2 linked regions of the Xenopus tropicalis genome follow. The main gene of each other region encodes a partner of the protein of the gene in region 2 in a complex. Links are inferred from orthologs where the notes say so. Each region holds a gene or a part of one and is shown on either strand. Other genes may lie near its edges.

Region 1 (4,153 bases), on a different chromosome or scaffold from region 2:
TTGTGGTATGCTTAAAGGACAAGGAAAGTCAAAATCTATTAAGCACACTATTAAATAGTACTACTATTGCTGTGTAAAAATGCTATATTTCTGGCTTGCCTAATGAAAGATTTACAGAGATACATTTACTAGAACCTACACACTTGTTTCAGTGAACGGCGCCGCCATCTTGTCCAGCATGTCACAGAGTGTCCTGCCACATCCCCCCCCCCCCAGCATGTCACAGATCAACACACAGAGCTTCCACTGCCGGCAGCACCCCCCCCCCTTCCCCCGCTGCTGCCACCGCTCGGCACTGTCACGAGGAGAAACAGATCGACACTGCTGGCAGCACCCCCCGACCCCCCCCACCCCGCTCGGCATTGTCAGGAGGAGAAACAGATCAACACTGCCAGCAGCAACCCCCCCCCGCCCCTGCCGCCGCCGCTCGGCACTAGGAGGAAAAGATACAGATGGAATACAGCATGTGCCATACAGCACTGTTACATACAGCACTCACCCACCAACCTTCCGCTTCGCTCCAAGCTCCTGCCACAAACCGTCCTTCGCTCCCCACACCTGTCCCTGCCCCCGCTCCCCTCCACAGCGTTCACCACCGCCATGGCGACCAGACGCTCCTGCTGTGTGCGCATGCGCCGCCTACAGTAGAAAGTCTAGGAAAGGAGCGATGCATTATGGGAATCTTCTCTACCCTGCTCAGCGTTTTATTTTCCTGTTTGGCTTCTGATCTTCTGAACAGATGAAGTATGGGGAGACTTAAGGGCACTATTGAGACAACTGAAGGTATGCCTGCAGCTTGAGATTAACTCTTTATTAGCCTTTCCTTCTCCTTTAAGTGATAATTCTAACATTAATAAAGCAACTTAAGTAGTGTGACTTTTCTAACAGGCAAAAACATATATGTAAGCCAAAAAATGATTGGTTGCAGATTAGCATTTTTTTCAAATGGATGCTCAAATGCAATAAATAAACAAAAAAAACTATACCCCTGAACAATGTAGGTCTCTGTAAAATTATAGTGCATATAATAGCCCATATGTAAAACACTGCTTAATTTTAATAAAAACATCCTTTTCTAGCAGTATTTGCCACTGAATAAACCTAAGTAGAAATTGACATTTGTTAATGCTAAGGACCTTCCCCCTGGCTCATACAATTCACTGGGTCACAAAAACACCAAGGGCATACATGCTAGAGACGCTAGGTTATGCTGGGGACCGAAACGTTACGTCGGCTGTTTATGCTACTTTAAATATATGTTTTGATTTTTTCACAAGAAATCCCAGAGTTGCTGGTCTTTTTTATTTTCTCTCTCTCCCTCTCTCTCGTAAGTAAAACAGACAATAGCAGAGGTAACCCAAGTATATATATATATATATTACAAAGAGAATAGCTTAGGCTACTGAGGTTACATGCTAAATACATATAATGATGTCTTTTTGAAATGTGGTGAAGTCCCAGGTCTTATCCTACTCATGAGATCTCTCACATTATCTGTCAGATGCCAACAGCTTATTTTGTGGGGCTGTTAAAGGAGACAAAAGAAAAATTATTTTTATATTTACCTCCCTGTCAAATCTGCCTGGTCTTCTTAATGCTGGATCAATGGCATCAGGCCTGCTTGTTGCAGCTACAGTAACCATCTTATTGTCACTGTCAATACCATCCATTAGAGTTAACAGCTGAGCAACAACGCGGTTTTCGGGAGCACTGTTTGAATGGCCACGTTTAGGACATAAGGCATCAACTTCATCTATAAAGAGCAGAGCTGGGCCACTACATGCAGCTTCTCTTGCTTTTTCAAAAATCTTCCGTAAATTCTCTTCGCTTTCTCCAGGTCTTGAGCCGTGAATTGCGGGACCACTCAGGCCAATTACATACGCCCCGACTTCTCTAGCTACAGCCTTTACCAAAAGGGTCTTTCCAACCCCTGGGGGCCCAATCAAGAGAACACCTTTCGGGCAAGGGAGGCCAAGTTTGTGCATGGTCTCTGGATAATGTAACGGCATATGAATTATTTCCTTTAGTGAGGCACACGTGTCATCCATAGCCGCAACCTTTAATTGAGGGGCCTCCTGTAACTTATGTTTGTACCATTCAAGGGTGATGACTTCTTTAATGACTATGCTTGTTTTGCCTGTAATAAGGCCGGCATTGCTTGTTGCAGGATCTGTATCAAGTATTTCAATGTGAACAACTGGGGAATCTGCATTTACAGATAACACATAATCATTCAGCACAAAAACGTTTCTTAGTAGATCTCTGACAGTCTCAAGGAGTGCTGCTTCTGAGGTAGCCCGCTTCACATCTAGGCTTCTCACTACAACTTTCACTGAGACCTTTCTGAGTTTGGTAGAAGCCATGGATTTTATCTGATTTAAACATATGCCGGTGTCCTTAAATACAGCCATGGGTTTATGTGAAGTCGAGCACATATAATCAGCTTGCACAAAGCCATCGCACAGATCTCTCCTGGGCCAAGCAGTGCACAAGCAGCTTCCACTCTGCAAGGAGACAAGAACCGGGAATCCGACTTTTGCTCCAATCAAAGCCATCGCTTTGGGACCAAGTCTGCATCGTTGTGAGCAATGGTCGTCTGGGTTGGAGGGTAGACATTTTAGAACCGTATCCATCAATGAAGAATCCTGACGATAACATCTAAAAAAAACGTATTAATTATTGAAACATGGTTTCCATGACAAAACACTGTATGCATTAATATTCGGGGGGAGTTCAAACTTCACCCTCTAATACAAGAATATGCACAGTGCCCAAGAATTGCGCTTTACCTAACACACACCGCAAACTCAGAGCGCTACTCCTGCCTTCGGAAAAGTTAACAGCAAGTCTCATGCTTCTGTCAGAAAATCCCGACTGCGCAAGTCTCATCTCGCGAGATTTGGCGTTAAGACTGAAGAGCGGAGACGACGTAACGGCGTTACGCAATTAGAAGTGTCTAGTATGCGGCGTTGAGTCTGCTTACAAAAAAAAATCTTGGTTGCACCTCATAGAGGAAAAAAAAAGAAAGAGCGAAAAAAGAATTTTTGTGTTGGTTGTGCCCTCCGCTATCACAGCTCCCCAAAATTTCTCAGAAGCCTTATAATTTCTGCTCAGCTTCCATCTGTGGCAGGGAACTGAAAACAATACATATTTTCTCTTTTAGTGCAACCAAGGCCCAGGTGAAGTTTTCTTCACCAGGTATTTTGCCATAAAAAAGTCCATGGACTCCAATGGCAGCAAAAATTAGTTTTACAAAGAAAGCCTACTAATTACGATTTGTGTATTTTTGGCAAAACAAAAAAGGTTAGAATTGCCTGTCACTAGTCATCTTTAAAGTGTTTTTGTACTTTAAAGTATAGAGCTGTCAACTCCCCTATTTCTCCCCTGGTCCCCCAGCCAGCAGCATTTTCCCTTCTGGTTTTTCAAGGATTAAAATTTAACAATTCTTGTTTCCACAGCATAAATCAGTGATCCCCATCAGTGGTTCGTGAGCAACATGTTTCTCCCCAGCCCCTTGGATGTTTCTCCCAGTGGCCTCAAAGCAGGTGCTTATTTTTTAATTTCTGGCTTGGAGGCAACTGTTGATTGCATAAAACCCAAACAGAGCCTTCTGCAGGTTGCCAGTCCACATAGGGGCTACCAAATAGCCAATTATAGCTCTTATTTGCACCCCAGGAACTTTTTCCCTGCTTGTGTTGTTCCCCAGCACTTTTTCCATTTGAATGTGACTCACAGATATAAAAGGTTGGGGATCCCTGGCATAAATCCAGGGGTATATTTATCAAAGAGTGAAATTAGAGCTTGCTACAGTCCTCTAGAGTGAAATTCCTCCACTCTAATCATTTCTATGGTATTTTTAAATGCATGTTTATCAAAAGGTGAACTTTCACCTTTATTTATTGATAAATACTCTGAAAAATCCCAAAGAAATAAATGGAAGGTGGCGGAATTTCACTCTGGCAGACTGCAACACGCTCTTTTACTCTTTGATAAATATATCCCCAAGTATTTAAACAAAAGTTGAAAATATTTGCGGAGAACACTGCCAGGTGCAGGCTGCCAGGTAGGCTGAGAAGAAACAGATGAGATATTCTGAGCATTTCCAGTGACATCTATCGTCAGATAAGCTGTTTTTGCCTTATTATGAAAGTGA
Region 2 (3,242 bases):
GGTACCGGCAATGAATCATGTGCACTTGTGATAAAGTGTGCATGAAGCACTTGAAACATTTGGCTTTTGTGTGCACTCCATAATAAATACTTTTGAAGGTATTATTTATTTATTTTTTACACCAGTTGATATCGCTTGTGTGCATCCTCTTTTTGTCCTTCTATTGTTACTTGCACATTTTGAGCCTGGCACTTTCTGAGAGGTTGCACCAATGGATTCAAATCTTTACTGAAACAAGGGGAACCGTTATTGTATGAAATGTTTGTTTGTTATGGAAGGTAGATTGGTGTTAACATCTGTCTCCCTTTACAGGTAAAAGTCCTGGATATGTAACACCAAAAAAGCCAGCTTTATCAGCTAGTGCAAGAAAAATCAAAGACAATGCAGCAGACTGGCATAATCTGATGCTTAAATGGGAGACATATAATAATGATTCATTTACTATAGCAAGCAAGATTGTTAATCTAAAAATAATTACTGAGTAAGTATTTGTGTGTGCCTAAGAGGTGTTTCACCTGCTGTCAACATGTGCGGTCTCGCAGGTTCAAGTAATGAAGTTCTTAAAACCTAGGCTTTGTGTTGCCACTGAGTCCTGGTGTATTTGTCCTTAAATATTATATATTTTGTTTGTCTAATATTCAATACATAATGCACAACTGAAAACTACAGCCTTGGCAACGTACACCGATGTATTCTTAAGGTGAAGACACATGGAGCTATTTAGTAGCTGCTACTTGTCACGGCTACTACACTCCATAAAATACCCTGCCATAGACAATACTGAGAATTGCCTCTGCTAAAACACACGCAGAGACAACTATCAGTAAATGATCAGCATTATCTCTTTTAGTAGCCTCGACAAATAGCTGCTACTAGTAGTTCCGTGTGTCTTCACCCTTATTGTGTTTAATGTATTGAATATTAGACAAAACAAAATATATAATATTCAAGGTTCAGTATCTACACAGATCCTTATCACCTGAGGGTGACGAGCCCTGAAATCTGCATTGGAAGTGTCAGTAGCACATAGACACAATGAACTTTGCTTTTTTTTTTTTTTATTGTATGTGTAGATCTGCAGATAGCATGTTGGATGAAACCACACCTAATAAGGATAATATAACGACAGACAAAGTGGAATTGGACAGACTGTGCTCAGAATTACTTCACATATTAGAAAATATGGTATGTTACTAGACCAAAATAATGTAATCCTGTATCAGTCATTGGTTGCATTGCATGTATTTCTGTATGTTAAGTGTATAAATCTAGTTGTTGTACAGTGCTGTGGAATGTTGGCGCTTTATAAATAGATGTTAATAAAATGAATATGCATTGTATTTTACCCCTAAGGAAAAAATATGGACCAAGCTGGAGAAGATAACCGTCACTTTTAAAGGAATCTGTGACCTTGAAGCATATCAGTTTCCTGGTGACATTTCTAAGCCAGTTCATTTTCACACTTGGCCAACAACCCTTTTCTGTAAGTAGAACTTATATAAATAACACACTATGCTGTAAGAAATATGAAAAATAATAATGAAACCATTCTATTAGAGCAGTTCTGTCCAACTGGCGGCCTGAGAGTCCCCTCTGTGTGGGCCCCCCCACCTGTCTGGCTGCTTTGTGTAAGCTTGAAATGGTATCAGTACTGAGTTTAACTGGCCCCCTGCAAGGTTCACACCTCAGATTCAGGCTGTACAACTCCAAAGGTCCCCATACACCATAAGATCTGCTCGTTTGGCGATGTCACCCGGTGAGCGGATCTTCTCCCAATATCCCCCACCTACGGGTGGGCGATATTGGGAGAATCCAGGGTAATTCGATCGTTTGGCCCTGGGGCCGATTAGCTGCCAAATCAGTCCAAGGGACCATTATCGACAGCTACTATCAGCCCGTGTATGGGGACCTTTACACAGCTCTTCTGTTATAATATTTTTTTCTATTGTCATTTAAACAACTGCTTGCTGAAAGACAGGATCATTGCAAGATAACATTTTAAATTTAACTAGAGAGCTGTAGAACACAATGTAAACAAAACAATTTGAAAACTACAAAGACAAAGTTAAATCCAATATTATCTTCTCACTGTATATTCCATAGTAAAATAAATTATATTTAACTTCCCTTTTATTTACAGAAACCCGATAGAGATTACAGGCATGCTAGCCAATTGTGAATAAAATGTTTGTTGTTAAAGAGAGTCTAATAAAATGTTTTGAACTGGCAGATAAGTGATAAGATTTCCCATAAAATATCTCTTTGTGCTTCAGAATAGAGTAAGGTGTGCTGTAATTTTATACTGCTTTATCAGAATACAGGATGAATGTTAAGGCTTAGGATGGCATTTATTCATCAGCATCTGTGACCTCTCAAAAACAGTCTATGGTATTGCATTTTTATAAAAAAAATGATTAACTTTTAATGCAACATTTCATTCTTCATCTATTGCCTTTCAGATGAGACCTCCAAAACAATGGTAGATATGTACAAGAAAGAAATGGAGCTTAAAAGGACTATTATCGGGGATCTTGCACATACATCAGATCAGGACTTACGGATGGTGTATTTATCGTGTTGGTTATACCAGCCTTATATTGACAACAACATCAAAGTCTTACTTGAAAGCATGCTGCTGGAAACAGGACACAGAACCTTTTGATGGTTTTGGACCCTTTAGGGCTCTGGTACACGGGGAGATTAGTCGCCTGCAACAAATGTCCCTTGTTGCGGGCAACTAATCTCCCCGACTGACATCCCACCGGTGAAAATGTAAATCGCCGGTGGGATGGCATATGCCGCGGCGCGACCTCCGAAGTTGCCTCTCGAGGCAACTTCAGCAATTTCTGCAAATCGCGCCGCTGCTTATGCCATCCCAATGGCAATTTCAATTTTCGCCGGTGGGATGTCATATCGGGGGGAAAATTAGTTGCCCGCAACAAGGGACATTTGTCACAGGCGACTAATCTCCCCGTGTACCATTTAAATGTAAATCGCCGGTGGGATGTCATATCGGGGAGATTATTCGCAGGCGACTAATCTCCCCGTGTAGCAGAGCCCTTAAAAGGTTAAATACACTGGAGGGGGGTGCCAGTGTACTAGGCACCACTGAACATCTAGTACATTAGCCCCCGGGATAGTGTTCCTATTCATTCAAATGCACCAGAACAGGGTACTGTCCTTTAAAGGAACAGTAACACCAAAAAATGAAAGTGTATAAAACTAACTAAAATATGATGCGC

The links. The genes of interacting proteins can lie anywhere in the genome.
Region 1: cinp (region 2) and spata5l1 share a complex: the UniProt entries of both Homo sapiens proteins name them as parts of the 55LCC heterohexameric ATPase complex. The link is inferred for Xenopus tropicalis from reciprocal best matches to the Homo sapiens genes CINP and AFG2B.

The regions. Positions count from the first base shown.
Region 1 is NC_030679.2:104,568,638-104,572,790, reverse strand, and holds the start of spata5l1 (spermatogenesis-associated protein 5-like protein 1), read right to left. Parts: upstream 2,801-4,153; 5' UTR 2,790-2,800; intron 2,659-2,789; coding exon of another isoform or gene 2,634-2,658; coding exon 1,566-2,633; intron 1-1,565. UniProt on the Homo sapiens protein: ATP-dependent chaperone part of the 55LCC heterohexameric ATPase complex which is chromatin-associated and promotes replisome proteostasis to maintain replication fork progression and genome stability.
Region 2 is NC_030684.2:97,537,426-97,540,667, reverse strand, and holds the end of cinp (cyclin-dependent kinase 2-interacting protein), read left to right. Parts: intron 1-312; coding exon 313-481; intron 482-1,073; coding exon 1,074-1,185; intron 1,186-1,353; coding exon 1,354-1,483; intron 1,484-2,459; coding exon 2,460-2,662; 3' UTR 2,663-2,742; downstream 2,743-3,242. UniProt on the Homo sapiens protein: Component of the DNA replication complex, which interacts with two kinases, CDK2 and CDC7, thereby providing a functional and physical link between CDK2 and CDC7 during firing of the origins of replication.